Struthio camelus: one gene and its partners. The protein of the gene in region 4 interacts with the protein of the main gene of each other region in a pairwise test. Links are inferred from orthologs where the notes say so. Each region holds a gene or a part of one and is shown on either strand. Other genes may lie near its edges. The genes, in order: ARHGAP19, PHAF1, DNM2 and ATXN3.

Region 1 (7,909 bases), on a different chromosome or scaffold from region 4:
CTGCAAGAAGTGGGCCTTCGCAGTGTGAGTATGGGGCTTGTGATCTGGAGGGGATGATGGGGTGGGCTTGGCTGGGCTGCGCCCCTGTCTGTGCTGCAGCAGATGCATTTCTGACTGAGAGGCCAGTGGGGACACCGGGCAAGCAGTAGCTGCTTGGAGAAGATGAGGATGGCCTGGGTCAGAGGACTTGCACAGGGAGCCTGGAAGGCCTTGGGTCCCTATGGGAGGAGGAGGCAGAAAGCTCTTTTGCCTGGTGGAGATCGCAGGTCTGTGGGAGGGCAGGACAGTAAGGACAAGCCAGTTGCAGGGTCCCCTCTTCCTCTTTCTGCAGAAAAAAAGCCAGAAGCGTCGATTCAGAGAGGAACCAGATGATGAGGAGACAGAGTCTGGAGCCTACCCTCAGTACAGAGGTAATTCTGTCTGTGCCTGGTCTGTGGCTCTCCACGGAGCCAGAACCATGTACCGTTACTGCTGGGCTGCTGCAAGGTGGCTGGAGTCGAGGTTTTTGCTTTTGTGTGAAATTGTCCCACTTCTGTGCTTCTCTTCTCTCCTCGCACTTAAGAGTTGGAGGCAAACAAGGGAGCAGCTCCCCTAGCCCTGGTTCCCTCTTGTGTAAGAGCTGGGAAGGGGGAGCCTGGCCCTGGCCCTGAGACCCCTTCCTGAAACACACATTCCCTCTTTTCCAGCTGGAGGCTCTGGGATCCACCGGCAGCTGGGCAAGGAGCCAGCTTTTGGTGCAGAGTACAGATCCAAGGTGAGGGCCCCAGGGGGTCGCAGGGCTTTGGAGAGGGGTGCCTTGGGCTCTGCTGGGGCAGGAACTCCCATCAGGGATGCCCTGGCAGGGCAGACGCAAGGTTGCTGTTGGCCTGGGGGGACAGGAAGCGCTAGCTCTTTGCTGGGGTTCGGCCCAGCGCTGCTGAGGCTGGGGGGTATCGGCTCCGAGGGGAGTTGCCAGACGCTTGGTTCGCGTGAATGTTTCTAGCTCATCTTGTCCTTGCCGTTGTCCTGCCCTCGCTGTGCCCAGTGCCTGCTCGCAGCAGGTGTCTGGTGCTGCATCACAGGGTGGGAAATCTGGCCCTAAAGGCCTTGGCCTCAGTTGGCGTTGGCAGTGCACCAGAGCCTGCATGCCAGGGTTGCCCCAGAACGGGTGCAGGCGTTTCCTTTTGTGCTGCGTCTTCTCCCATGCTGGTATCTCCCACAGAAAGGCAAAGGTGATGTGAAGAAGAAGGGCCAGCTGGACCCATACGCCTACATCCCCCTGAACAGGGCCAAGCTCAACAGAAGGTAGGTGGAGCTGGGAAGGGCACAGGGTGGGGAACAGGGCCGAAACCAGGGTTCAATCCTGGCTCTGCTTTGTTACGGTTGCCTGGGGGTCTGGAACCTCTCCACTGGCCTCTATGCTGCCCCTTGCAGAGCTTGGAGCAAGCCTCTGCGTTAGCCGGCGGAAGAGCTGGCTGTGCCCAGTGCCTGTGCTAACCAAGCCTTGTTCCTTCCTCCCCCTAGGAAGCAGGCAAAAATGCAGGGTCAGTTCAAGGGCCTGATGAAGGGGGCCCAGCGAGGGGCCCAGGCTGGCCGTAGGAACCGTCTGAAGGACCGTCGTCCCTGAGGAGCCTTGGACGCTGTCTGCATCTGCCTGAGGAGTGACAGCACCCAGTCACATCTGGGCACCAGGGGACAGAGTCTTGTGTGGGGACGAGTGGGGAACTCCTCTGCAGGAGGTGGCGTGTGCCTGCTTGAGCCTCCTGGGAAAGCCACCCCATTGCATTACGGGCTCGTGGCCTAAGCCCTGTCCTCCCGCGCTGGGAGGAAGGCAGCAGGTTGCCTGACACTGTGCCCCAGTGACCCTGTTTGGTATGTGCGTGAGAGCAAGTGGTGTGTAATGAATTCTCTGCAGTGATAAATACCCACTGTTCCTACCCAGCCTCGATTCCTCCTGTCTTTCCTGTAGGAGCTGTACGCTCTGCCAACTCTTTCTTGTTGGCTGAACTACTGCAACCTCACTGTGCTGCCCGTTCTCTTACCAGAAAAGCTGAGACAGGCCCTTTCCTCTGCTCTGACCACCTCTCACCAACTGGACCTGACCAGCACAAGCAGTCCTGGATGTTTAGCTGCCCTGATGTTTCAGGTTGACCTGAGCATCCATTTTTACCCTGTTACGGCTGGTGTTGGCCAAAGGGCCCTGGAGAAAACAAGGATGGAGCTGAGGACAGTGGATACGCTACAGCTCTGGGATGCGGGTCCTGTGGCAAATGGCTCACACTGTGAAGAGCATGTATTTATGAACGTATCTGGCTTTCCTTTTTTCTTCTGTATTAAAAAGCTTGTAGTCCTTTGTCATTTCCTATCGTGGTAGCTTACATGCTGGAACTATAATGCTTCACGATCTCATCATAAGCTAAACGGATTGTGATTGTTCAGCCTCTTACTGCAGGCTTCTTCCTGGAGGTTGCAAATCCAGTTTTGTGGCTCCTTTTTGTGCTTTTTTTGTTTCTCAAGATCCTTTTAAGAGCCTGGGTGTGGAGGAGGAGCTCTTGTGCTACTACTGTTGCTTGTGCCTTGCCAGGAGCGCTCTCTCCTTCCTGCTTCTCCACCCAGGGATCTCACTGGACCTCTGCATGCAGGGTTGTGTGGAAGTGCTGCTGCTCTAATCCTGCCACCTATTCACTGTTGCTGACCTGAAGGGTCCCATTCCCCCAGTTTTGGAACTTGCTTTGCGTTTCTTATTCCTACCTGGAAATACGGTGTATGGGTCCAGTCCTGGCTATCCTGTGGGGCAGCCTGTGTTACTGCCCCCAAACTTCTTTAGTGGTGCACCAGTCTTTACAGTCTTGGCAGCGAAGATTTTCATTATCTGACCTATGCTTAAGTGTTGCATATTAGCTGGTCAAGAACATAGGACAATTTTATTGACAAAACTCATAGGCTGTTATAGCCTAGATGTACTCAAATCCTCCTCCCACAAGGGAAGAAAGCCTCAAGCCAAGGAGGAAAAGTTGTACTCTAGGGAGGAGGAAAAAATAAAAAAAGAAAACCCAGACATCCTGGAGATGGAAAGGCTCTTCCTGTCTCCCTGTGCCAAGGTCCACTCTCCTGCCATGTCCTTCCCTGCCTGCAGAGCTCTGTGATGCTGATTAAAAACAGAGCTGGGGAAGCAAGGACCCGTCCTGACAGGAGCGGAAGGGACCGCAGCCCTGGCAGCCTCCAGCAAAGCCTCCTCACCGTGCTCAGCTCTGTATGACACACTCATGAAATCTCAGGATGGGGTGGGGGGGGGCAGACAGCAGTCACCTTCCTGCAAGCCTGGAGGCCTGAAGGAGAGACAGCCCACAGCCAGAGAAAGGACCAGTAGCTGAAACTCCTGCTCCAAAGCTGTGGTGTGTCATCTGTGAGGGCCGACTATGGCTGCACAGATAGCGGTGGCTGGTGTTTCTGCGTGCCCCAAAGTGCCATTGCATGAAATCCAGATAAACGACAGCCAGGAGCAATGGGACTGAGCCAACCCTGTGGGGGAAGGTGTCCTGCCCAGAAAATGCCCGCTCAGACCATTACACCAGGGTCTGTGTTGGCCAACACCTGTAATACGTGGCTCCAGGCCCCTCAGAGCTACCTGTCTTGCTCTTTTCTATCTCTTTCTTCCTTGGAGACGGGGACTGCAGACGGCTGTAGCTAATTCATTTAGAACCTCCAGATTATTCACTGTATTGTTCTTCATTTGCATGTTGTCGCTTAAATTAGCGGTGCCTGCCTGGAACAGAGGAGTTTCATTCGCGCGGAGGATGGCGTTCGCCTGAGCTGGTGTCCGGAGAACAGCTTCTTCTGCAACAACACCTTGTTAGTCAGCTAATTAATCATGTAACGCAACAGCAACCCAGGGAGGGGCCGTCCTCGGGACGTGGCCCCGAGTCCAGCCCGCTCCCAGGCCCAGCCGCCCCCGGCAGGGAGCAGAGCTGCCGGCCCGGCTCCCGCTGGAGCCCAGCAGCGGAGGGTGACGGCACCTCTCGCAGGGGCTGGGCACCCATGTTTTGTGGATACCCCCAGAGAAGCCCGAAGCGGGGGGGGAGGGGGGGCTGTGTGGGGTCTCTCATGGGGCAGGAACGGGGGGCATCCCGGCAGCAGATGCAGGTGGGCCGAGAGCTCCTTTTCCATGCAGCATGGTTAAACCACAGAACTGCTTTGTTTCATGCTAAAATGCTTGGCGGTGAGATAACTTAAGCCTGGAGGTTTAAAATGCCAAGGGACAGCTGAAGCTGAAATCCAGTCAATTAAAAAAAAAGTCAGTTTAATTTCTAGTCCCCTCAGTGCTCTGATCTGCAGTTTCCCTTTTTGTTCCTAAAAAGGGTTGTTTTTTTTTTCTCTCCTTTTCCTGGTTGCTGCCTGAAAGCCTTGTGCAAACCGCAGTGGAGCGAGTGTGCCAGGGCAGAGGGCCACTGGCCCAGGGCAAGGTCGGTACTTCCACACACAAGGGAAGAAACCAAGAAACAAACCTGCTTCTGACGGTTTATATTTAAATATAACTTAAGTTTAAATTAATTTTCACCGACTGCGCGTTTTGGGGAGGGGGAAGCCTGCTCAGAGGGGCCGGGGCCGCGAGGAGGGGGAGACGAGCCCGCGTGGAGGCAGGCGGGCGGGCGGCGAGGGACGCCGGCCGGGCGCCGTCCCGTCCGGGCCCGCGCAGGCCCCCGGCCACGGCGGCCTACAACTCCCGGCATGCTGAGCGCGGCGGCGGCGGGCGGCCGTTTCCCTCCAACCGCCGTGCGCGCGGATCGGCCGTTGCCCGTTCGAACGGGCCAATGGCGGCGGGGCGGCGCCGGCTGCAGCCAATGGTGAGCGGAGGGCCGGTAGGGGCGGGGCCTAGGGGGAGTGGTGCGGCGGGCCAATGGGGAGGCGGGGCGGCAGGTATGAGATGGCGGCGGGAGCGCGGGCGCCTGGGGAGCGACGCGGTGGCAGGTAGGAACAACGGCGCCGCCGCCTCCCCCCCCCCCCCCCCCAAACCGGGCACCGGCGCCCTCTTCCCCCCGGCCCGTCCCCCCAAGTTCCTTGGCGGCAGCAGTGGCCGCTCGCTGCCCGGCCCTCGCCTGTCCCACGGCGCTGCACTGCAGGCGCCGCACGCTGCGTGCGCCGTCCCGGCGGCAGCGGGTCGCCGGCAGGCGGGCGCCCCGCAGGCCGGTCTCTCTCCCTCGGCCCGCCCATTGCGGCGCTTCCCCTGCGGCGCCAGGATCTCGCCCCCCCCCCCCAGCCCCGGGGTTGCTGCAGCTCGGGGGCCCCGCGGTGCCGGTGTTTCTGCCCGCCCGTCCCGCCCCGGCGCTGCGCACCCCGAGCGTGTCCCTGCTGCACTGGCACCCCCCCCCCCGCCCCGGGAACGGACCGTGCCGTGCCCCCAGGTACCTCACTGGTCCTGCGGGGCAGGTTCGGGGGTGATCAGGCTGGGTCCCTGTGTGAACCCCCGGGCGGGTTTGCTGCGCTTGGGCTCCGTCACCCCAGGACCTCGGTGCTGCGGTCCCCCCGTCCCCGTGGGGTCAGCCTGAGCAGCTGGGCAGCGCTTCCCGCAGCGTCCCTGCAGTGCGTTGCAGGGGGCACAGACCTCCCTGTCCCGGAAAGCCGTGCTCCAAACCACCTACCGTGGGCCGGAAGGCTGTCCTCATAGGGAAGCGTGTCCCTGCATTGAAGTCAGCAAAGGTGAAAGCCTCCCTTGCAGCTCTGCTCCTGCTCTGATGCAGTCACTCGCTGCCTGCAGAGGCACAGGACGTGCTGTGGCTAGGCTGGCTCATTTCTCCTGCAGCCGCAAACTGCGACATAGTACTGAGTGCTTGGCAGTTGCACGGTTTGGTAGGGTGATGGCACTATATAGACTTGTTTCACAGCTAAGCCTTTTTCTCCCTTGCTTTGTCTGCTCTGCACACATTACTCTGAATTTCCAAATACAGGTACCCTGTAAGGTCAGCATGATTCACCTTTGTCACATATTTTAATATGCCTAACTATTTTGTAATGGCTGCCAGTAAAATAGTGGCAAATGTATAAGCATGTCACTGGAACAATATTCTGGGATGACTGCCGAAAGGCTGTAGCATCTCGCCCCCCAGAATGTGCGGTGAGGTGCTGCAGACTGAGTTTTCCTTGGCTGGTAATTCGTGTGGACTCATGAAATAAATGGTCTGAAGGGTGATGCCTTGTGCCTGACCTGACTCACAGCGGTGCTGTCCTGTTCTCTGTGGAGCAGGACCCATATCTGATGGCACTTGCTCATCACGTGGGGGACCTGCTATGGACCCCCAGAATGGGGGCCAAGCATTGCTCTGATAGGAGGGAAGCGTTCTGCTCAGTGCAGCACACTCGAGCAGGGAGCACCTAAAATGCTGTACCTGGTAGAGGGTAAGCGCACTTTGTGGAGGTGATGCTTGGGGTGCTCCTTGGTGTAAAGCATTTTAAATGTGTCCTGGATCAGTATGAATGATTGAATTTCTTTGCTGTGCAATGACAGTTGCCTTTAGGATGCAATCCTCCAGCTCTATCTACCCTCTCACAAGCAACTGTGTTAAAGCAAAGCCTGAAGTACAAGGTTTTTACTCCAGCACTTTGTCACGCACAGATACTGCTAGCGACTTCATCTCTTAGTTTACAGGTCTACCACTGCAAAGTATTTTTAGAAAAAAGAAAAAGAAAAAAAGCTACAACCTTTTTCTTTCACCCCATCTCCTCTCATCTGGAGAGAGGCACAAGTTAGCTAGTAAAGCTCACGTGCTTTGCGTGTGGTCTTACAATGTGCTGACTTAGAGATTGAAAGCTGGTTGTCTCAACCTCCTTACCAAATGTTACTGAACATGACAGAAGATGATTTGTGCAGATGTCTCTTCTATTTGTGGTGACTCTAACCTCTGCCTGGCTCTTCATGACTGAGAGCAATGATTGCGGTGTGCCTGAGTGCTCATTTCCAAAAAAGGAACATCTGTCTGTTTGAATGCATTTGATATTTGAGTCAAGCAGTGCCTAAGCGCTTTGCCAGGCACTCAGCATTCGTGTTGGCCATCTCATATGGCAATGGTGAGATAAGTGGAAGAGAAGGAGCTGTGGGCCTGGAAAGCAGGATGCACTAGAAAAAAGCATCTTGCTAAAACGCCTGGAAAAGTGTCACTGAACAACTGGACAAGAAGAGTTTACATCTTAAATAGGCGATGAAAGGAGACATAAATGCCATCTCTATTTTACTACAAATAGAAATATGTTCACTGCAAACATGACTTAGTGGCAAAAAGTCAAAGTGCCTTGCTAGGGTTACACAGGAAAACTCGTTGATTTTTTGAAGTAAAGCCAAGTCTGAACAGATGGCTACTTTTCTCAGAAGACAGCCTGAAGCATGGGATGATCTTATTCAACTATTCCCTTCTCCACAGCTCTCAAAAATCTCTGAAACCTAGACTTGCATTTAATCCTCTGCTCTGTCCAGCCCTGTCAGGCGTGCATCCAGACTTGAACACAAGGCTAGCTTGCATTTGCAGTATCTTTGTATGTCTGCATGTAACGCTCCCTCTTGTTCCCATCCAGGGCCTGGATGGACTTGGACAACAGGATCCTTGTTCTGCTACGCTTCAGCGTATTGTCTGTTTGCATGAAGGGGGAGCATTGCTTGCCCACATGTCCCAAAGCAGTGTCTGGGTCTCATTGCCAGCCTGGTCATTGCCTTGTTGCAGCGTGCACATTTACATACATATGAAAATGTCACTAGGCTTCGTTAATGCTGCTTTAAAGGTGCCTGGGCACTCAGTTCAGTTTGAAACTAAAACTCCCTTGTGCTGGAGTCAGCTCTGGAAATCAAATTCCTTGGCCCCAAAAGCAATAGTCTTCAGTACATGGTAGTTTAGTAAGTCGTGCAAACAGAAGGGAGGGAGAAGGGGCAACATGGAAATGATGG
Region 2 (6,894 bases), on a different chromosome or scaffold from region 4:
AGTCCAGTTTGTAGTCTGATGTAAACTGATCCAATCTTGGGTTCGTTGAGTGTGCAAACAGATAGCTCACGTGACTCTCTTACTCAGAGCTTTCTCAAGCAGCAAGCAAACGGAGACGGACTGATTTTATTCAGTTTTCCCAGATTGAGAATTAAGCTGATTTTCCTACACGACTGCTTAGCAAAGCTATGAATAGCAACGCAAGTTCTCCAAAAATAGTTCAAAGAACCTAAAACATAGGTAGAAGAGCCAATATCCTCCCTTTGCCTCCATTAGTAGAGAGCCAAAGAAGGGGCAAAGAAGCTAGGTTATTTTTCCTCCACCCTTCTCACACATACATGCAAACACCTCCTTTTCCTCAACAGTGAGCAGTCTTTGCAGCCAAAGACGACGACAAAGAATGTTTTTCTCCTGCTTATGAGCTGGGGGAAACTGGGAAGCAAACATGGTTTCCAACATATCGGACAGTCAGCCAAAGCAAGCTATTGCAAGTAAAGCCCACAAAGTTCAGGTCTAGTACTCTGCTGTCACATACTTTCCTTTCCCCTTCTCTGAATCCTGGAGTGATACAAGATACTCCTCTGACATACACTGGTCACAAACATGTCTTGAAGTTTTATCCCTTTGACTAAAAGCAGGGAGCAGACAAGTGAATAAAGAATAATAAAAAAAGAATACAACACAACAACGTGAGAGAAGAGGTTTCATAACTAAAATAAAAGAGAAAGGAGTCAAACTTAGTTGGAAAGTATAAAAAGCAAGATAAATGTAAACATGTCTTAGAAACTGTAAGCATGTCTACTGCTAATAACACAACCAGAGGCAGTACAAAATAAGTATTTAATTGTTCTCCCTCTTTGAAACTTCAGGAACATAGCCTCAGAGATGGCAGTGACACAGGTACCTAATTGAACACAGAACTCAGTCTTAGTTAAATTTTTTTATGCTCTGGTCAGATCATGAGTCAATGCTGGAGCGAGAAACAGAACCCAAAAAACTCACGTAAAAAATTTTCCTGGCATTCCCTTCAGGCATCTCCATTGTGGGTACAAGACTGGAAGCCAGAGTCAGCAGCAGCTCAAGAACACTGCCATTAGTTTTGCTAAGAGCAGATCTAAACAAATGATGAGTAGTACACCCCCGGCAGCCAGAATCCCACTTATGCTTAGGCTTCCAACCTCACTACCACCAGCGCAGTCGAACCAGCTTTTATCAGCAAGGAATTTTCATACAGTACTGCTAGCAAAGGACAGAGTTAAGTATCTTAGTACCTAGTCAGTCCCTTGCTCTATACAAGCAGGTCATGCTAATTATATATTAGACATGTCACGTGGTGGCTATGTTTACTCCAAGAATTACAGCTGAGCTTCCTCTCCCTCACATCTATGTGCATGTGTGTGTACACATATACACAGTATATAATTTTAATCGTAAGACTGCATTAACGGGCTCCTTGGGAAGGAGAAAACTGTCTTCTCTCTTTGTTTTTATAGGGAGAATCAGGGGGCAGGGAGGGAAAGCCACTACTACACACTTACAACCATCGCTAGGGCACAGAATTTGAGATTTATTTTCAGGTAATACAGATAATAAAGGATCACAGGAGGACATGCAGAGTTGAGGGAGCACAGTAACATGTTAGTGGTATAAGGAGATCCCAAAGATTTCAAAGGGTGGGATGTGAGGTACTATTATTAGCCTCCAAAAGCCTTTCTAACACTCCCATTAACAATCAAGTTGTACTTGATTCTGAATTCAGGGAGGTGTAAACAGCCATTGGGGTTTGCCGGGTTTCATATAAAGAACTCTGTAACTGCCCCTTTGGTGCGACTAAAGTTCACGGAGCCTGGTCACGGAGCATGTTTTTCATCCAAGAGCCTGCCCCCTGCTATCACAGGTGACAACAACAGCAGCAGAAATAAAAGCGTAACTCAAGTTCTGGCAGAGACAAATGGCTGCCACACAGAGCCCTATTTTCCTTAGCCATCTTACTATCACAGTTAACTGTGCTTTAGACAGAGCAACAGCAGAGATGAAAAATCGCCAGAAAAGGAGTCAAATGCTGAAATCCAAAACAATCCCGTGAAAATTAGGACAGCTACTGTAACTTCGGGAAACTTGAAGGACTAACAACGTAGGCTCGAAAATAAGATCATCTGAAGAATTTGTGCTACCTAAAATTCAACTCTGTGCTTAAGAGCTCCGGGCTGGGCACCAGCTAAATGTACATTAGCTGGGAGAAAATTCTTCTTTCTCACTGCACTAAACAGAGGAATGACAGTTAGGGAAGCACCTTTCAGAGAAATAAAAAAATAAGGGTATAGAGAATCACTGGAAGGATAAATGCTTATCTAACCCGGGGAAAACCTCTCAAAAAAAGCTCACTTTCTTCACTATAATGTCGCAACCCAGCAGTAACACAGAAATTGTGAAACCGCTCGTATTTACAAAGGACTTGGGCAGAACAGCGCAGTATTTATGCTAAGTATTACTACACAGCTGAAGAGACTGACATCACCTGACCCAGAGTTTTCAGATTACGACCGATACATCCGTGTCGCCTCTTTGGGGAGCTATTTAAAAAAATAAAATAATAATAATGAAAAGATCGGTCTAAAACGGCGATAAGAAGGAGAGTGAGGAGAAGGAAGTACACAAGCCGGTAGCACGGCTCGGTGTGCAAAACGTGACCGAGGAGGCTCTCTGCTCAAGAGCTGCTTCAAGCGCCCACCGCGATGCAGCAAGCCAGGCTCCGGGCCTCCCCGCTCCCCGGCTCTCGCCGCCCCGGCCCCGGCCCGGACTTACCCAAGGTGAACTCCCATTGCTCGTTCCCCAGAGACCGCTCGGGCACCACCTCCAGATCTAGCATTGGCTCTGCCAGCGTCGAGGCCCAGGGCTCGCACAGCAGGTCACCGAGGCGCTGCGCTGGGGCCCTGCGGGGGGAGCGGACCGCCGGGTCACGGCCTGCGGCCTGGTCCAGCCGCCGCCGCCGCCCCCCGCCCGCCGGCCCCATCCGCCGCCGCTCCGGCGCGGCGCGACGCTCCAAGCGCGGCCCCGGCCCCCGCCCGCAGGAAGCTGCTGGAAGCGGCGGCGGGGGGGCGCCCCCCCCCGACGGGCCCGGGGCCCCGCGCTGAGTCACAGCGGCGCCCCCGGCCGCCGTCACCATAGCAACCGCCCCCCCCCGCCGCCGCCCCGCGCGCGCGCGCGCACCCGCGGCTTCTGTCCCCTCCCGACCACCGTCCCGCTCCCTCTCTTCCCTCCCCCACTCCTCCTATTCGGCCGGGCCCCGGGAGCCACCGCCCGGCCCCCCGCCCCCGGCGGGAAGGGGAGCCCCCGCTCCGCCCGGACGTACCGACAGCGCCTTCCTCCCGCCGAGGGGGGGGGTTATATCCCCCCCGCCCCCCGCCCCCCGCACTGCGGGGCTGCGACTCACCTCACTTGCGGCTGCTGAAAAAGTGCTTTGCAGCTGTCGTCAGGCGAGCCCGCGCGCGCGGGGGGGAGGGCGGGACGACGGGAGGGAGGGAGCTGGGGGCGGGGCTCCAAGGAAGGGGCGGGATCTGGAGGGGGAGGGGCCAGGGGAGGAGCAGCCGCGGGAGGGGCGCCGCCCCGCCCCCGCCGGCGGGGGAGGGGGAGGGTGTCCGCCTGGCAGGTGGGAGGCCGCGGGTTCGAGCCCTGCCTCGGCCGGCCGGGCGCCCCCCCCCCCCCCCCCCAGCCACCCCCATGGCGGGGGACCCCTCACCTCACCTCCGCGCCACGTCCCAGCAGGCGCCCGCCCTGCAAGAAAGCCAAGAGACGGCGCTTCCGCCTCGAGGCAGGGCCGCTGGGCGCCGTGACTGGGCCCGAGGCACCCAAAGGCGGGTGCCCGGGGCCGCTCTCCCGCGTCCGTCGGGGCTCCCCGGCCCCTCCGGCCCGCCCGCGTCTCACCCTCCCGCCCAGCCGCCGCCGGCCTCCTGGCCCCAGCCGGATAGCGGCGCCGGCTGCATTAGTTACCCGCGTATTAGCTAACGCGGGGTAAGAAAACACCTTTTTCCTACCGCCAGCGCTCTTCGATGGGTGAAAAGCGACACGTCCGGTTAATTCTGCGCAGCCCGGGCCGCGCTTAGCGGTGGGGAAAGCTGCTTCGCAGGGGGCCGGCGGGCGTCCCGGCGCTCGCGCTCCACCCCGGCGCGCAACGGGGCTACGAAACCGAGCGAGCCGGGGCCCTCACGCGGTAACGGCTGGCAGATAAACTGAAGGACCTGATGGTGAGGATAGTTCTCCCGTCTCTCGCACCTCTTTGGTTAGAGGACGGTGCACCAGAAAAGAAGTTGTTCCCAGTAAGGGCCCGTCTTTCCCTTAAATGTTCATTTGTTTGTTTGTTTTAAACAAACTTTCCTGGAAAACCTACTTATGATGCGGGGTGTTTACTGACCTTACGTCGACCAGGATTTCACGTGCCTGGAGGAGGCCCTTGAGAAGACGGGTTTACCATCCATGACAGAGAAAAAGATGCTTTTAGATGAGGGGGTTTTTTTTGTTGTGTTTTTTTTTTAAAAAAAGAGATTGTATCAGTAGACCTAAGGGAGAAGAGAAGAAACAGAAAGGTCACAACATATGAGGAATTAAATTTTAGGACTTCTGAATTTTTTTTTTTCCCCACTTCTTCCTTTAAACAGGAGAACCAGCTTGCTAAACCAAAGGAGACAGGACGCTCCCCATGAACAAGCACACTCACGGTAGGGGAGACACTTCAAGAGAAAGCAGAGTAAAAAGGAACCAGAAGGACAACCCAGGGCTAACGGTGGAGAGAGACACGTTGCTCGGAGACCGCAGGACTCAGGAAGCCTGTTTCCCATGGGTTTCGTCCATCACCTGCCTCTTCTCCATGGGTTCTCTGCTGTCTAATAGCCAGGTTGAGCGCATGCTGCAGCCCCTCTTGCTGCAGAGCCTCTGAATCGCGGCTGCCTCTTCCGCCAAGCCATTTCATATTCCAGTACTTTTAAGACCTTAACGGCTTGGAGACCTCTCCTGTCTGTGTCAGATTTAGTCGACGTCGGCTAACCAGTTCAGAAGGTATGGTGGGGAGAGGGGGCCGGGCAGGCCGGCAGACACGCAGCACAAGCAAAGTTCCCTTCCTCTGGAAGCGGGCCAGAAAAACAGTCAGCCGGGATAAAGCACTCACTGACAGCAAGACCGTCCATTATATTATAAGAGGACAAGCCAGTAAAAAGAAATGAACTGGGGATTTTTTTTGTGTCGAAAAAGTTTCCCCTGACACGCAGTAAGGAGGCTCAGCGGTTCGTGGGAAGTTGCCGTCCTCCGGACGAGACACGAAGCTCCTGTCCCTTCTGGGGCTGTCTGTGTTAAAGAGCTCATCACATGTTCTGAATTGAGTAATGCGATAATCTCAGCAGCTGGGCCAAGAGCCTCTCGATAAAACAGGGACTAGCGGCCAAGTCTGAGAGGTTGATCCTGGCCTGTAATAGCTCTGCCATTTGCTTACACAGCTCCTGCCTGACTTCCAAAATCTCATTACTCTCTAAAGTGCTTCGAGATACTTGTGTATAAAAGGTTGAGGGGAAACAAAACGCTATATTCTTTTCAAGTGCCTTAAAGGAAAAGGCAGAAATGGGAGGGAACATCTTCTTTCTGGTCCTGCTACTCCTGTATAAAATCACGCCTCTAAATAGATACACTGATGAAGTCATAGTCTAGACAGATCATAAGACTGTATTGTGAATAGTTTCTGCCTTTTTTTTTTTTTTTTTTTTCCAAAAACACACATAAGGATCAGAACAACTGAAGTGACCTGGAGACCCAAGCTGCTCAGGGGCGCGGACGGCCCCAGGGAAGCAATCGCAGCAGGTCATTTATCCGCAAAGAGCTGCGGGGCGAGAGTGGAAAGTGCAAGCCTGCAAAATCTCTTTGGAGCAAATTTGCCCAGCCGTTATACAAAAATATCCACCCCAAATGTCAGTAGAATGTGTGGACTTGATTATAACAGAAAAACATCGTTCCTCTTCCATAGCTGGCAGGAATTAAAAGGCCTTTCTTGGCCTCTCCTGCATGCTAACATCTGCACCACACCTGCCCATCAAGGCAAACTGCCAACCACACCAGAAACACAATTCCCAAAGGTACCATCCTGCATGTTTTTACATGTGTACCCCTCTGGTTTAAAGGTAAGCCCGTGGCAGAAAAAAGTGACTCTTGTTCCTTATGCAGCTCCAAGTATCCCGGTGGTTTCCGTGGGGGCTGTAGCAGGCCCAGAGCTGACCAACGTTTCAGTGCCGCCTCGTCCTGCTGCGCCGCATGGCAGAGTGGGTGGACTTAAAATGGTTTCTCCTGCCACTGCAAATTGTTCTCCCTGGGAGAGACAACAACCCACTGCCTGGTTGGTGGCTGTGCAAACAAGCCAGCCCCATGCTTCGCTCACGCTGCCTGAAAAAATCTCCCTCCCTTCCTCTCCACCTCCACACCAGTCTGGGTCCGCCTTGCTGGGACAGCACTGGTTGCTCTCACGGAGGAACGTTTTCAGCGGGACTTTTCAAGATAGATTTAGCTGGAGCCACTCACTTTTTTGCTTTGGCCAAAAAGAACATTTTTTCCCTTGAAAACATGCTCACATAATTAAATTGGACCATATTGATCTATATGGGGATGAGAATTTATTGAAATATTTGTTTTAATCTAGCCCAAAATTTATTGTTTCTCATATAACATAAACCCACATGTACTTTACTGCACCCCACATAATCAATGCAATGGCATCCAAGTGAAATACGTTGGAAAGTTCCAACTTTCAAAAAGAACCGTAACCAAAAAACTAAAGAACAGGATTCAGCTTTCTACCTCGGCAAAAGAAAAAGGAACATGCCAAAATACAAAAAGCCCGTTCTCTGCTTTTGGCAATTT
Region 3 (8,024 bases), on a different chromosome or scaffold from region 4:
CCGGCAGAGCCGGTCCCCGCGTGTTTGGGGTCTCCCCGGCTGCAGAGACCCGCCTGCCCCCCTCGCCGCCCGCGGCCCAGACCGGCTTTCGCTGCGGCCCTGGCCTCGGCCGCAGCTCCCCAGGGCCTGACCGAGGCGCTCGCCCTTGGCCGTCCCCCATCGCTGGTGCCAGCGAGAGCGGGGCGGCCTCGCGGGGGGAAGCCGGTGCCTTGCCCGGCCTCAGTTTCCCCTCATGCAATGTAAGAGGAGCTCTGCCCTTCCTCCGAGCGCACCCAGGATTTCTCACCATAACCTTGAAATAACCTTGCCTGGAGGGCTACCTAGCCCCAAACACTCGGAGCAGGTACTAGCTTAGAGAGTTATGCATCAGCAGCCAGGCACTTGAGCCGGGTCCTGAAGGGGGGGGATATTAAGGCCAGGTAAGGGCCAGGTGCCCCCCATCAGGTCGTCTGAGGGTAGCGTGGGTATAAAAGGAGGATTAGCTGCTGGGGAACAGCTATGAGGGAGCATGTGGGGAGCCTGAGCTGTGGGAATGGTCCCTGTTTTGGTATAAATCACTGTTCCTGTTTCTTTAGATTGGCAGAACATCATTTCCCCCCTAAATAGCTTTTAGTGTGAAAGAGGAGCGCGTCCTGGATTGGTGCGTGGGACCCGGTCGGTCTGAAGTAAGTAACGTCCCTTGGGAAGGGTACTGGTTCAGCAAGGGGCTGGGGCGCCAGCTCCCAAAACTGCCGTAGTTTATTTAAGGGGAGCCTGGTGGAAAGCTTGTCGAGGCTGGGCTGTCGCAGGGGGCTCTGCCTACCCATGTCAGACCTCCTTTGGAGGTGCGGGACCTCCATTAAACACCTGGTGGTAAGGGGGAATGGGGGCTTTCTCCCTAAAGCAAGGAGGTATGTGCCTGAAAACGCAGAGAGGTGACATCCAAGGGGCTCAGAGGAAGCTTTTCCCTTGTGCTCCAACTTCAACAGCTGTTAGTCTTGCTTGTGGGGTGGTCCTATATAGCAGCAGTATCCTGTTACAAATAAGAGTTTTGCATTTAAAATGCTAAATGGAAAAAGCCTTCAGAAATGACCCAAAAAACCTTCCTCCTCCCTAGTTAGCAGGGTGCCGGTGGGGACTCTGGCCGGGGCCAGGCGCAGACCCGGCGCGCACCGTGCCGAGGCGTCCCGCACCTTTCCCGGCGGTGCCGGGTGAGCCCCGGCCGAGAGCCGCCCGGCTGATTCCCGCGCGTCTCCGCGAAAGCGGCCCCGTGCCTGCGCTCTGCGGCCCAATTCGGCCTCAGCTGCGTGGATGCGCCGTGCCCAGCGCGGCTGCGCCCGAGCCCGCTTCTGCGGGGCGCTCCGGCTGGGGCGGGCCGAGGGATGCTGCAGCCGCGGACGGAGAGCCCGGCCCTGCTGCGGGCACGCTGCCGGCAGCCCTGCCCTGGAGCCCCTCTTTGCCCGGGGTGGGCTGGCGGGGGCACGGATGTCCTGCCGATGCACGTGTCGGAGCAGCCGGCAGCTCATCCCGGCCCTCCTGGGGCGGGGGGGAACCGCACAACTGTGCGATGAGCTTGTTTCCAGCGTTAACTAGCTGGATGAAGGATGAGCGCTTAGAGAAATTGAGCCGTGCGACAGCCTGGCTTGGATCGAGCTCCAGCTTTCCCTCCTCTGGGCTCTTGCAGAACAAGTCTCTCCCAGAGCTGTGTCACCTCTGCGAGCAGAGCCTGAAGCGGTCTGGCCTGCTCGCAGCTGATCCGTGTGCCCCTCCATCTGCTCTTCCTCCAGAAATAAGGCAAGGGTTTTCTCAGAAATCTGCCGCTGGAAATCTGGTAACAGGCTTGCTTAATGCAGCAAGGGATTTAATTAGTTTTTCCCAGAGAGAAGGAGAGGAAGGGGAAATAGTGAGCAGCTGCTGGCATCTCCGTCTGCAGCCTCCCGTGCTGCCCCTCCCTCCTCATCGCTGGGGACTGAAAGCTGTGCTTGTGGCTTGGTGCATCTGCAGAAAGCGGTGCCAACAAATCCAACCTGTCTCCTCTGCTTCGTTGCCTCTTCTTTCCTCTCCTCCTCTAGGAACAGAGTGTTCCTTGCTCCGGTGGGGCAGCTCTCTTGTGTCCAAGCGAAATGGCTGAGCCCAGATTATGGTAACGCGAGCGGGTTCGAATAACCCGCTTCCGTGGAGCGCAAACGGGCTCCCTCAGGTGAGCGGGGAAACGGATCTCCCCTGCCTCCGGCCCGCCGCAGCCATCCGGCTCCACGCGCGTGGCCGGAGAGGGGCCCTGCCCCGCGGGAGGGAGCAGGGCAGCGCCGGCCAGCTCGCCGGGCACCCTCGGGTCTGACCTTGGCTAGCGAGCGACGGGCAGCCTGCCAGAGCCCCCGGGACGCGCGGGTGGCGGCTCTGCCGGGGGCGAAACCGGACCGAGGATTGATCCCGCCGCTGCTGTAAATGGCTGGGACGGGGGGCTGCTGCCTGGAGGAGGCCGCAGCTCCCCTGGCTGGATGGGGGCTCTGGGGGCCGTAAACGACACGGCGTTGAGTCCGAACGGCTCTTATTTCTCCGCAGAGGGATGATGGTGCAGTTTCAGCGAGGCTGCCTGATCTCTCCAGCGAGAGGAGAGCCTTGTGGGTGCAGCCGGGCTGGCACCAGGGCATATGGTGCCGTTCGCAGCCCTGGGACAAAGGCCTCGTGGTTTGGGGATGAGTCCAGCTTGCAGCCTGTGGTGTACGAAATGGAGCTGGAGGAGGAATGGTTCTCTGGGCATCCCTGTTTCCCCCCCCCCCCCCCCCCAATTCCTTATGGCTAGGATATATAGCCAAGATGTGTCCAAAATTTGCAGCATCCCTCCCTGGCCCACCTGACATGGTGGAGAGCCAGCATCTGCAACGGGTGCAGCCTTGCTGGCTTCGGAAGAGCGCCCACGGCCTGGGATGCGGCTGCGACCGGGCTGTAGAGCTGGGTAGCCAGGATGGCAGCCCCTCACCCCCAGGAATGGGGCTGCATCCCTGTCCGACGCCGCGCAGACCTCCTCGCGGGCTGGCTGGGATGGCTCCGGCCGAGCCCAGCGCTGAAGTGACCAGCAACGTGACAGACCCTGTCTTGTCCTTCCCTTCCGCAGCTGGAAGATGAACACGGTGCACGACGCGCGGACCGAGGCGCGGGAGCGGCCGAACCGGCGGACGGTGGACCAGCTGAGCCCGGAGCTCCGCGTGGAGAAGTACATCCTGCTGAGCATGGATGGGAAGCTGCTGGGACCGGAGCTGAGCCGGATCCGGAGCGGTAGGGCCGCGAGGTGCTTGGAGGAGGGAGGATTGCCCTTAGAAAGAGGGATACACCCTGCTAGTGTCCAGCTGGTTCTCACTGAATCCCTGCTGGTCTGTGCTGGGGAAGGTAACAGGGGCAGATAGCCCTCCCAATCCAGCCTGGAGGAGGTGCCGGCCCGCTGGACTCAGCTTTCTCAGGGTGTTCTGGTCCCACCTGGATTTCGGAGGCCTCTATTGCTGGTCCTGGCATCCTGAAATCCAGGTGCTGGGGCTCAGCTGCTGCCCTGGGGATGCCCAAAGGCATTTGCAGTGTGGAAAGGGGTTTTTCTGCTCCCCAAGTCTGACATGAGCATCAAGACGCACAGCAAGACGCAGTGGGGTGGAGGCTCACGGTGCCTTTGCCCTCCCTGCCGCAGAGATGGCCCTGCCCCTGGAGCGCCTGGATGCTGACCTGCCCCAGGACCTGCCCGCGGGCTACCTCTGGCGCCAGCGCCGCTCGCTGCCCACCTTCCCCCTCGCCCCGGGGAGCGGCCCCCAGAGCCCCGCGGACCTCAGGTACATGGCGCCAGGACGGAGAGCGCCGGTGCTCCCCGCCGGCTCGTGCCGGGGGCCACCTCGGCCAACTGCGCCGCCGTCTGCCGCGCTGCCTCCTGCGAGGGCTTGGAGCCTCCTGGCACTGGGACTCGTCGTAACCTATGCCCGATGCCCCGTTCGCGGTGGGGCAGGCGAGGGGTGCTCAGCCCATCCTTCTTTTCCAGGAGAAGCTCGGACCTGCTCTGCGCCGGCCAGTTCCCCGCAGGGCTCAGCGACCTGGTGACGGGCATGCAGGCCCCTGCCTCGCCGTGCCCCCGGAGCCGTGGCAGCCCGCGGGCCCGTCCCCGCTCCTCCCTGGCAGCGCAGGCCTCCCGCGGACCTCCCGCCACGGCGGAGGATGCTGCGGGGAAGGAAGGTGGCAGGGAGTGAGGGGCGTCCGAGCCCTCGGGCCAGCTGTCCCCAGCGGGTGCTGGTAAGGAGGTGCCGTGGCGGGGCTGTGATGGGAGGATGGTGCAAAATAAAGACTCTGAATGTGACCCCAGGCTGGTGTGTTGGTGCCAGAGAGGACTCTGAGCGTGGCCCGAGGTGGCTGCGCTGGGGGGTGACGGTCCCCAGGGGAGGGGGGTTCCCCTGGCCCCAGTGCAGCCTCCGGCCCTCGCCTCGGAGACATGCGGTAGCAAGACATGGGCTTCTACACGGGGACGTACGGTAGGGGATCTCCAAACGTCATTGGGCTGTGCCCGGGAAGGGAGAAAGCGGCAGAGCATCAATGGGGCTCGTGATTGACGGCTGGCTGGCGAATCATGAGCGGCTTTTCGTCAGGGAGTACCCGCCCTGGGTTGGTCAGTCTGGTAGACTGGCAGAGGAGCTGTCCAATGACAAGGGCGTATGGGAGGGGTGAACAAGCTAGTTTCCTTCGGGAAGCGATTCGCTAGCTTCCCGGAGTGGCAGTCCTCTCTACCAATAGAATGGCAGGAACAAAGTCTTGGGGCGGGAGCTGCCGCTGTGCCGTCTCAGCTGACAGGCCAGCTCCACCTCCCATTGGCTGGTAGGAACGAGCGACGCGTTGGGAAACCAATGAAAAGGGAGAGGTGGGGCGTGGCGACCCGCTCCCGCCTTCCCTCTTGAGTGACAGCGAAGAGCTCCGCTCCGCTCGGCCGGCTGCTCTGACTGACGGCTCAGGCTCCCAATGGCGGCGCCGGCTGAGGGGCGCGGGGCGGGCCCGGCTGAGCGGCGCCTCCGGGGGTGTCGCCAGTGCCGGATGAGGAGACTCGGAGGGGAAGTTTGGTCGCCGCCGCCGCCGCGGACTGTGTAAGGAGGAGCCGCCGCCGCCGCCGGGAGAGCGGGGCCCTCCGCGCCGCCATGGGGAACCGGGGCATGGAGGAGCTGATCCCGCTGGTGAACAAGCTGCAGGACGCGTTCAGCTCCATCGGGCAGAGCTGCCACCTCGACCTGCCGCAGATCGCCGTGGTGGGCGGGCAGAGCGCGGGCAAGAGCTCCGTGCTCGAGAACTTCGTGGGCCGGTGAGTCCCGCCGCGCCGCGCCGGGGAGGGGCGGGCGCCGCGTACGCAAACTGCGTAGCCGCCCGCCCGCCCGCCGCCGCCGCGCGGCGCAGCTGGCGTAAGCGCGCTTGGTGAATCCCGCCTGCGTAAGGCGGCTCGAGGCGGGCGGGGGCGCGAGCGCCGCCGTAGCAGCCCCCCCTCCCCCCCCCGCCCCGTGCCCGGCCACCGCTACGCAAACTGCGGATCATCCCGGCAGCCCGGCCCTGTGCTACGCACTTGGCGTAAGGCGCGGCCCAGGGGAGCGGGTCACAGGCCGGCCCTTACGCCAGCGGCGCAGGCGGGGGCTCGGGCCGTGGCGGGCGCGCGCGGCGCTGGCGCAGGGGAGCTCTGTGAATAGCGGGGGGCTCCGCCAGTCCCGGGCCTCTGTCGCCGTCGCCTGCCCGGTGCGGCCCGGCCCGGGCCCGGGAGCAGAGCGGAGCGGGGTCCCCGGGCTGGGGATGCGCGGTAACACCGGGGGGAGGTGCAGGGGTGTGGAGGGGCTGCGCTGGGCCCCGCCCGGGGACCAGGACCCCCCCAAAACACACACAACAGGCCCTACCTGGACCCCCCCCCCACTAGGCCCAGGACTCCCCACTAGGCCCTGCCTGGTGCCCCCCCCACAGGGCCCTGCCTAGGCCCCCGGGACCCTCACCAGCCCCTGCTGACTCAGTAGCCGTGCGTCCCCCCCCCCCCCCCCCCAACCCCGTCCGCCTCCCTGAGGCCTGGGGCAGCCCGTCCCCGGAGCTCAGCAGCGCGGGATGCCGCGAGCGCGGCCGCCGCAGCCTTCCCGCCGAGCGGTGCCAGGGCCTCGCCGGCTCGTCCTGACGGCCGTCAGCATCCTTGAGTTCCTGCGCGGGTGCCCGGAAGGCGCTCCAGAAACGCTGGGCTGACCTGCGGAGTGCAAATGTGTAAAGCGGAGACAGGGGAAGCCCAGGCTTGATCAGAAACAACCGGCACGGCATCCCGTTGCGATGCTTGACAAGAGACCTGACAGCGTTAGAGCATGGTCTTGCTCCGGTTTATAATTTTCAACATGACTGTGTTAACTTACAAAGGTTAATGCTGAGTTGCATCCTAAAGACGCTTCTGTTTCCACTCTGATAGCCTTAGGCCTGGAGTCATCGCTGCACCTGGGTTTGGGCGGCTTTCGTGTTTGGTGCCGTTCAGCTGTGTGCCCTTGTGATAGGGCTGAGCTCTCTGCCAGGCCTCTCCCAGGAGCGGAGGGGTGTCAGGACCCTGCTGTAGAGCCGGTCGGAATTGGCAGGATAAGGGATTGACACGCGGCCTGGGATGCGCTAGGGTGGGGAGGAGAGCGTGGCTGTCGAGATAACGTGGGGGAGCCGAACGCTCCTGATTTTATATTGCGCTAAGGCTGTGGGGTTTAAAAATCTTTCCGTGTGCTTCATATGACCCTGCTGACTCTTTCAAAATCCGTGGTAGCTGCTAACAACTTCCGCTTCTGAATCGAAGCGCTGAGAGCGGAGGGTAGAAGTCAGTCCTTCGGCCTTCTCCACCTTTTGTCTCTGCCGTTCTGGGGATGGCGGCGCCGGTCCTGCAATTCATAGCGCAGCGCAGGGCTGAGAGCTGGCGGCACTCAATGCTGCTCCGTTCCTGCGTGCACTTGTTCCACGCTCGGGGTAAAGGATGTTGCTTGACCCCTTCTGCTTTGTTCCTGTGCTCCGCTTTGGCTTGATCTAGGCTTGCAAGCTCGCTGTAGCGCGGGCTGCTTCTCGCCGTGCCTAAAAAATTCATTGCACAACGGGGCTCCAGTCGAGGCTGGGGCGGATGCCGTAATAGCAACAATAGCAGATTTCCGGTGATGTCATTTCATCCTGACACTGGCCGGCAGGAGCGTGCACGGATCTGCTTCTCCGTTGACAACACAACAGCGACTCGGCCCTGCTCTGCCGTCGGGTCTGACGTAACGGGATACCGTCCTATTTCCACACAGCCGACCAAGTGTCTTTTCCAGCGCTTTAGATTTGTTGGCTTCGTGGTCGCTGTGGCTTCCTTTATCGGTAGAGAAGGGATCTTTTGAAAGGCCTGCGTGAGTTTTCTCCACTGTTGTGCTTTCCGCAGTTCAAATTTCGGCTTACTTAACATTTTCCTAGAGGTGAGGTCAGGATCCGGAGCCTGCTCTGTGATGCATCACCTGACACAATTTGCCTTTTCTTTTATACTCACAGGGGTTTAATTCATAGCATGGATTTGCAGCCTGCAAAGCAATTGAGGATGCCTTTTGAGCCCGTTGTTGTTCGTGTGGGAGGGAGAGGAGGAGTCAGCTGGACCAGGGCAGGTCTAACTTTGCCAGACTAAACTTGCATCTGGGCCGATGAGTTCTGCCAAGTCTCTTTGCAGTTGGGGTTGAAACGGTCAAGTTGTTACCCCTCATAAATAGCTGCCAGTGGAAGTTTTGGCAGCCTCTAATTATGGTGCTGCTGGAAAACCAGCCTAGTAATTAAAAACCTTTGTTTCAGAGCATTTAAGTCTTTGTCAGAAGGCTTTCACTAAGGGGTTAACCGCACTCCACAGACTCCCTTTTCAAAAAGGGTCTGAACGGGAAGGCTTTCCGTGGGACTTGATCTGTGTGATTTTCTCTGTAACCTGGAATATTTCACTTATGTCTCACGGCACTAACTTTGTTCTGCCTTGATGCACTTGGGTTAATAATCAGGTAACTACGTATGCAGTAAATTCTGCCTTTGCTTGG
Region 4 (8,013 bases):
GTCATTTTTCTCTCCAAGTGTTCGACCTCCAGAAGAACTATTCTGAATGGGAGAAGGGAATGCTTCACTAGCTAACCCAAAGGAAAAGTCTATTTACATAGAGCCACCTCTAACTTCTTACACTACTGAGAACATGGAGGAGAACGGCTGCTACACACTACCTCAAATAATGCTGCTGGTTATTAGGTATTACCTATCTTTTGATCTACCCCCTTTTAAACATAGGGAAAAGAATACTTTTTATTTGCCCCAAGGGAATTTTTTTAAAAACCTAAAAACAAAAGGGTAGAGCCTTTGCTACCCCTGGAAAAAGCTGCCACCAGAAGCGAGGCAGCCAGCAGCGACGCCCACCTCGGCGGGGACGGCGCGGGGGCAGCCGGGCGGGGCCGCAGGGCCCCCGGGGCCGCAGCCCCTCCAGCCCGGCGGCTCCGGCGGGGCAGCCCGGCGCGGCGCGGGCCGGGGGCGCGGCTCAGCGGCTCCCGCCCGCAGCCGGGCTCCGCCGCCGCCGGGCACCGGCCCGGCCCGTGGGGCGCCGAGGCGGCGCCGAGGCGGCGGCGAGCCCCGGCGGCCCGAGCCCTGCCGGCAACGCGCCGCGGCTCCCCACGGCGAGGACGCGGGCGCGGAGGAAGGGGGCGGCGGGAAACGGGGAAGGAGAACCCGCAGCGAGCGCTGGCGCCGGGCCCCGGCGATGCCCCGGCGATGCCCCTCCGGGCGGCCGCGGCCGCCGCTACCTGCTTCACGGGCCTCGGTCAAGCCCACCGGGGCGCGCGCCCACCGCCTCATCCGGACACGGCGCCATCCGCCATCTTGAGAGGGGCGGGGAGAAAAGAAGGAAGGGCAGTGCGGGGGTGGCGGGCGACACCACCGCCAGGCCGCCGCGGGGGGGGGAGGCGGCTCCTCCCCCGCTCCCCGAGCAGCCGGTGGGCTGCGCCGGCCTGCGCGCTGCGCCCGTTGCCCTTGGTGTGGCCGCTGCTCCGGGCCCGGCGGCAGCGGCAAGCGGTAACGGCTGGGGCTGGCGGCGGGAGGGAGCGGGGCGGGTTGCGTGGTGCCGGCGGGAGCCCTCACCTGCAGCGCCTCGGGGCGCTTCCCTGCGCCGGCGGAGCCTCGAAGGCGGCAGGGGCCCTGCCGCGAGCTGCGGCCCGGCCGGCGTCGCGGCTGGCTGCGGAGCGGCCTGCCTCCCGCCGCCCCGCGGCGCCCTTCGCAGCAGCGGCGGCGTCTGTGGCCGTCCTCGGGGCGGTACGGCTGCCGGGCTGTCTCAGATCGTCCCGCAGGACACTCATGCGGAAGGTTTGGGCTGGTGAGGTTGGAACAGGCTTTGCGGAGTTAACAGATATGTTATCTTGCTTCTCTGTCAATGGCCAAGTGACTGCGAGGCTTGTCTTTGTGACTTTTTACTGATATTAGGGCATCCATCTGCAGGATTTGGTACTGTAAATACATGTGTTATGTTTTGCAGGAGAGCAAATTTCTGTCCTTTTAGATTTGTTTTAATGGGTAAATTATTTTGCTGCTGTGGGTAGATTATTTTGTCACTATTTTGCCAATGATGCCTTAAAAGAGTCTACTCATCTCTAGCTTTAGGATAAGATCCTATTTCCCAGCACCACCGAGCTTTTTTGTAAGAATCCTGTGTTTGGACCTGAGAACAGCATGCACCTTGCATGGAGTGTTTAATGGCCCTCATGTGTTTATTATTCCATAGTAGGATCCTAGTACGTGAGAGTAAAGGCGCTAGGTATGTCGCAGTTGTCGTGTGCAGCTCTATCAGTAACTCTTCTGTGTTACACTTCTCTTTCTAGCAGTCATGGTGAATTTCATGCAAGCTGTGCGTGATCACTGGGTTCACATCCTTGTTCCCCTAGGATTTGTGATTGGATGCTATTTGGACAGAATGAACGATGAAAAATTGTCAGCCTTCAGAAACAAGAGCTTGCTGTATAGAAGGTTTGCTTATGATACCTTTTTAAAATATATATGTTCTGTTATTTTGCAAAGTAGATGTGCTTCTCTGTTCTTTTTGAGAGTCTCAAGTACAAAAAAAAGTCAGTAATGCTGTCAAAATATTAAGAGGAAGAAAGCCCTAAAAATTTCAGTCAACTTTCATTAAGAGTTTTGAGTGACTAATGCCTACTGAAAATCTGTGCTTTAGGGCCCATCTTAGTGCTATAAGTCATGAAAGAAAGTGTGCGCGATTCTGTCCATTTGACCTATTAGTTGAGATAATTGACTTAAAATTTTTTTAAATAAATGTTATTCTTGGAAGCAAGATAAACAAATGCAAGAATTAGTAAACGTTAAGACACTTTCATTTATGTCTAAGTAGACTTATGAAAAGGATGACTAGAAAAATAAATAGAAACCTAAATATGTGCATAAATAAGAAACTCATGTTGCTAGGAAAAAAATCTTCAAATAAAATTTAATCATTTACTTAACCACTATACTTCACCATTTACAGTGTAATTAACATGGCATATTAACACAGTCTTTGCTGCATAGAAATTGTTACTGTTCCTTTTTAAATAAAAGTAACATTGTCTGAAATACTACTAATAAAAAAGAATCTCAAAGGGTTGAAGTAAAAACACCACTTGAAACATTCTGTAAACTGTACTTCTGAAGAGACTGTTTAAGATGGATTTTTCTGTATACTGGGCCCGGAGAAAGTGTATGAAAAGGGGAGGACCTCCAAACCACTCTTCTCCTCCCCCCCTCTTCCCTTAAGTCCTTCTGGAAATGTTTTTGAGTCCTCCTATTTAGCTGCATTTGGATACCGTACCAAGTTCACTTAAATGCACAATACTAGAGCTCTGACAAACTTTACCTAACAAAATAATGTTAAATGTGATAATTGCAGGGGGAGGGAGGGGACAAATTTATAAAACATATTTTAATGTAAAGTAACTTATTAAGCTAGGGAAGTAGTCTGTAGGTATGAATTTCCGTATTCTCCGTGTCCTTGATTTTTCTACAGGTGGGAAAATGCAGCCTCTTGCATTTTTTTGTGTATTGAAAATGGAAAGTGATCTTTTTCAGCTTCCAATTAGTTTTCCATTTTAAGTAACTAAATATTGATTTGATATCAAATAATTTGGAAAAAGAAGGTATTTTTGCATTGGTATAAAAGGCTTTAGCTTTCCAAAGCTTGTTAATCATACTAACTGCTGCCAAGTGCTTAGCCATGAAACTGTGCAAACCTTATCTTGGCTCTGTCTAAAACTTCAGCAGAAGCAAATAGTACTTGGGTTTTCCTTTAATTTTAACCTTTTCAGTGGATTATAGTAAAATTATATCTTAAGTTTAAAAGTATGACATCATATATATACATAGCATGTATACATATATAGCATGTAAATACTTGTATAAATTTGCATCATTTACATAATTATCGTCTTTTTTTAAATTAACCCAGCTTCTGTATTTTGAATGTTTAACGTTTAATGTTAGCAACTGCTGTGTCTTTACTGAGGATATGACTATATACCCATGGTATGGGCTTGCTGGCTTACTGCTCGGGGAGAATTGAGATAACTAAATGTGCTACCTCATCTAGATCAGTTCTCTTAAATCTGTATAAGACTGCAGGGTTAACCAAACAGCAGAAAAAGAATCATGCTGCATAATTACTAATTCTAGTCTATCACAGACTGGAAGAAAAGTAGAAATGTTGGTATATATGGTTTGCAAGTGACTTTTTTTTACTCTGGTGTCCCATGGGCTAATAATTCTGAGTGAGAAAGTAAAGTAACACGCCCACTGCTCACGCCACTGTTATTAGCACTTTTCTCACTGCAGTTAGTGGTTAAATTGCACTGGCCTTTCAGTATGTTGCAAAAGCTTCCTCTGGTTTTGTTTGTTTGTTTGTTTTTCCCCAGTAAAGTAATGATGTTTTTCTATTCAAAAGAAATAAGGCCCTGTTATGCAAAAAGTTTGTTATGTTATTAGAGGTTAGGTGTTCGGTGCCCACGTTTGAACTAATTGAAGCGGACTCAAGCAGCTTTGGAAAGAAAAAGAGAACATTTACCCATATTGAAAGATTCTAAACTGACAACACAACACTTTGAAAGAAAGTCAGATTTATTCATTATAATTAATATATATTTCAGTCAAGGTTTCTATAATAATGAAAGCTTACATCAAGGTTTTCTATAATAATTAAAACTTACATTTTTTAGTAATTATCCTACAGAAATGATCCTAATGTTATTCCCCTGCCTTTCTTTTTCCTTTCCACACAGAGAATTGAAACCTGGTGAAGAAACTACATGGAAATAGAAGCTGCTGATGAAATGGGAAATATTTTCACTTGTTCAATCAACATATATAGCAAGTTAAAAGAACAGGATTACAGTTTTTATTCTTGAGTGAACGTATAAGGCTGCAGAAAGGAACACCTACGATTCATCTCTGCTAGTTTATAATTTTCAGTCCTCCTTTTTGAAAGATAATTACATGACTAGTACAAGTCCTGTTCAGAAACATTTATCCCCGGAAGTCATACTCTGAAAGAGGGAGGAAGACTTATGTAATAAAGAAAAACTATGCAAAAAGCATGTATGTCGTTATTAATTTGTATGGTGTAAAATTCATGTAGTTCATAGAGAGACAATGTTTAAAGGAATATTTAATATAGATCCAAAATGTGGTAGAGAACGTATTTATATATTTTTAATTGAAATCTGAACCGTTTTCTCTTTAGATTTCCTCTTTAGACATGTTTCTTTGGAATGTCAGCAGTGGCAATACTGTAGCTTTGTGATAGTGCAAGAGAACAGGAGAATGAAAAGGATTGACAGGCGGTAAGAGACAGCAGTGAAGCCGACTTCTCTGTGTGATTTCTAAATTTCTAAACCAAGCGAAATACGGGAAAAGCTTTCGAGGGCGCAGGGAGGTCGGGGGGCGGATCCCGGCTTCGTGCCGCCGAGGGCGCAGCAGGGCCTCCCGACCGGCAGGGGGCGCCCTCGTGCAGGCAGCGCTCGCACCGCCCCGCTGCCGGCGGCTACCGTGGGGGTGGGGGCTCCGCGCGGCCGGGCTGCGGCGGGTTGCCCGGTAAAGCGAGGTTTGATTGGCTGGGGCGGGTCACGTGAGGCGGAGGGTGCTGGCCGTTGACAGTAAACATGGAGTCTATCTTCCACGAACGGGTGAGTGAGGGGCTGTGGGAGGGGAGGGTTCCGCTCCGCGCGGAGCTTTACCCACCCGGGGCCGGGGTGGGGGGCAGTCGCGGTGTCGCCGGGCCCGGGGGGTGCTCCCTCCGCGGAACTGTACGGGGTGGCGGGCGGGTCTCCGCTCCCGGCCCCGGCTCCGGGGCGGCCCTCGGGGCGCGCTGCGGCCGGGCCCCCTCTGGCGGCAGGGCTGAGGCGGCGGCTCCACTCCCTCTGCCTCGGCGGAGAGCTGGGCCCCCTCGCACCGCGCTGCCGGACCCTGCGGCCCGGCTTGGCTCTGCGAAGTCTTCCGGCTCGGTGGGAAAAGGAAACGTTATACTGGAGATCAAAGAAAGCCAGGGCCGAGCCTCGACGTTTCCTCTCACCCAGTGACTTCCCTTCTCGGGCCTTTGAAAGTAGACCTCCGCTACGGGGAAGTGCAGGCTAATGCTGTTCCTGTTTCTTGAGAGAGAGCTTCTGCGGCTGAGAAGTGAGTGTGAGGGTGTGTAGCCTGGGCAGGCAGGACTGTTTCTGACTCTTCCTGTTATGTTCTCTTTCCTCTTCACTTAGCCTGCCTTGATTTGAGTTGTGTGAAGAGCAGGGAAAGAGAGTGCTGTTAAGGATTTCCTTAATCCATGCTAATGCACTGCTAATTCATGTGCAGTGCTTCTGTATGCTAAATAGTGTTTCCTGATTTGGAGGAGAAATGCTTCCATTAACTCTTGTGGTTTATCTAGGTTCCCAAATGCCAACTGTGTGTGCTACAATGCTGTTGGAGTACTATTGTCTTCCTCATATGCTTTGCCAATGTCATAACATCTTTATTGTGTTAAGATTAATGCTAGTTCTTATACACTGTTCTCAAACAAGCTAGCTGTATAACTGTATAAAGCAAACTTTAATGTTCTGGAATTTGTATAACCTGAGGAGTGTGTTTTCACTGGATTTGGATAGCAGAACTTTGCAAATGCTTGGGGTGTTAAACTGCTGCTGCTCAGGGGATAAGTATTGATTTCAGTCATTACAGCCTGTGTTACAGTGACCTTGAGTTCCAGTCCAGATTTGAAAATAATGAGTTCAAATCAAGTGTACCTTTCTCTTATGTAGCCTAGCCTGTCACCTGAGGAAATAGTAACATAAAGTGTTTTTGAGGAAATTGCTTTGTTGATTTTGAATAATAAAACTCTGGTAGAGTTAAAATGATAGAGCATAATACTGTCAGAGTTACAAGTTAATTGTCATTTGTAGTTGCTACAAGTTCTTATTGAGGAGTGGTTTTGTTTGTTTATCTTAATGTTCTTGGGACGTCTTGCTTGTGAATGGTATGCAACTATGCTTTAGCAAGTTAGTTATCCAGTTATTAATGTTCCTGGCTGTCTGTTTTAAAAATACTTGGCACTCAAATTCATCTTATTTTGTTATAATTACTATTCTAGGGAAAATTTGACTGAACTACTATGTCTTTTTTCTTTTTTTTTTTCTTAAGTGGTATTTTTTTTTCCTGAGTGCACTACAAAATATTGAGCGTTGAATGCCTGTGTGCATCACTTGTACACTTCAGAAGTTTTAATTAAAAAACTGAGGCATGAAAAAAATGACATTTTTAAAGGGATACCTTTAACAAAACAAAGACCTAAGCAATGTGACTTTTTTTTTTCCACGGGAGAATGGCAAATGCCCAAAGTAGGCCTCCTCCAGGCTTAAGGAGCCACTTTCTTAAAATTCGACCCCTTCTCTTACATGATACAAGTGGTTGAAAACACCAAAAGCAGGGCAACAGTTTTATATCGAGATAGATCTCAACAAGGAGATTTAAGATTATGGAAAAAGCATTGTGTTCTCCACACACAAAAAAACAAACTTAACTTTTCTTACAAACTGTAAGATCAGTTTTGTCTTCTGCATTTACCCTTAATACGTACAAATCATGCATATGAAAAATTAATGTATGTTGTCTTAAGATAAAACTTTTTCTGTACAAATATAGAAATGCCCTTTCAGTGAAACTGGATTTAAACACTGTCATACAACTTGTTTTCAAAGACTATAATCTCTCTTTGTTCCTAAATCGGTTTCAAGTAGTTTTGGTGGAGAAACTTGCAATTCTTAAGCAGGTTGCTCTGCTTTAGTTTTATCATATGACCAACAGCAGGGATGTGGTCTTGGAGGATGCGGTCTTTCTTGCAGTGGGAGAACACAAGCTGCGGGATGGTGGAGAAGGTTTCTGAATTCTGTTAGACCCCAGCTGTACACCCAGTCCAGCCTTAACTCATTGCTTAGTTGAGTGATAAAGCCCTGGGAAGATTTTGTAATCTGGGGTAAAGGAAATTTTTGAGATTCCTGCTTTAAGGGATGAACCATGGCAGATCTGTGCATATAGCTTGAATGAGGCTGTCATAGAAGTTTGAAGAATATTCCTACAAGGCATGCCCTTGGTACTTGGGATTTTGGGGGTTTTGTTTTGTTTTTTGTTTGGTTGCGGTTTCTGTTTTTATTCTTCAAAGTGCACGTACTTTAAGGTAAACAAAAATAGGAAGGATTAATTAAAATAGCAAAGATGAAACCTAGATTTCAAAACTGATGTGAATCTTATTTTGCACTTGCAGTTTAGTTATTTCTTTAAAAATAACGGTTATTGGCTACTAAAGTTTTCCTTTTTTAAGCAAGGTAGCATTTTTATCTGCACTAATTATGAGAATGAAAGAGCGTGACGTACATTCAGGTTTTTTTTTTACTTATCCTACAAAATAATAACTGTCACTTCTAATTTATTCATTTTTAATTTAGATTGATAGTCTAAAAGTGATATATTACATTTGTGTTATCTCCAGGGCGCTGGATACATAACAAAGTATGTAAAATGCCTTGTCTT

What was found.
Region 1: the proteins of ATXN3 (region 4) and ARHGAP19 interact in binary tests that used the Homo sapiens proteins (3 or more experiments, as listed by UniProt). The link is inferred for Struthio camelus from reciprocal best matches to the Homo sapiens genes ATXN3 and ARHGAP19.
Region 2: the proteins of ATXN3 (region 4) and PHAF1 interact in binary tests that used the Homo sapiens proteins (3 or more experiments, as listed by UniProt). The link is inferred for Struthio camelus from reciprocal best matches to the Homo sapiens genes ATXN3 and PHAF1.
Region 3: the proteins of ATXN3 (region 4) and DNM2 interact in binary tests that used the Homo sapiens proteins (3 or more experiments, as listed by UniProt). The link is inferred for Struthio camelus from reciprocal best matches to the Homo sapiens genes ATXN3 and DNM2.

The regions. Positions count from the first base shown.
Region 1 is NC_090948.1:16,953,427-16,961,335, reverse strand, and holds the start of ARHGAP19 (rho GTPase-activating protein 19), read left to right. Parts: upstream 1-4,868; 5' UTR 4,869-4,876; coding exon 4,877-4,947; intron 4,948-7,909. Other genes in the region: RRP12 (RRP12-like protein), read left to right, coding at 1-24, 332-410, 687-754, 1,202-1,284, 1,504-1,606. UniProt on the Homo sapiens protein: GTPase activator for the Rho-type GTPases by converting them to an inactive GDP-bound state.
Region 2 is NC_090951.1:21,617,138-21,624,031, forward strand, and holds the start of PHAF1 (phagosome assembly factor 1), read right to left. Parts: upstream 3,047-6,894; 5' UTR 3,014-3,046; coding exon 2,806-3,013; intron 1-2,805. UniProt on the Homo sapiens protein: Plays a regulatory role in autophagic activity. In complex with BCAS3, associates with the autophagosome formation site during both non-selective and selective autophagy.
Region 3 is NC_090972.1:4,735,691-4,743,714, reverse strand, and holds the start of DNM2 (dynamin-2), read left to right. Parts: upstream 1-4,991; 5' UTR 4,992-5,135; coding exon 5,136-5,296; intron 5,297-8,024. Other genes in the region: uncharacterized protein, read left to right, coding at 1,547-1,773, 3,095-3,255, 3,656-3,794, 3,998-4,202. UniProt on the Homo sapiens protein: Catalyzes the hydrolysis of GTP and utilizes this energy to mediate vesicle scission at plasma membrane during endocytosis and filament remodeling at many actin structures during organization of the actin cytoskeleton.
Region 4 is NC_090946.1:65,726,981-65,734,993, reverse strand, and holds the start of ATXN3 (ataxin-3), read left to right. Parts: upstream 1-4,985; 5' UTR 4,986-5,117; coding exon 5,118-5,141; intron 5,142-5,531; exon of another isoform or gene 5,532-5,631; intron 5,632-8,013. Other genes in the region: CPSF2 (cleavage and polyadenylation specificity factor subunit 2), read right to left, coding at 1-5. UniProt on the Homo sapiens protein: Deubiquitinating enzyme involved in protein homeostasis maintenance, transcription, cytoskeleton regulation, myogenesis and degradation of misfolded chaperone substrates.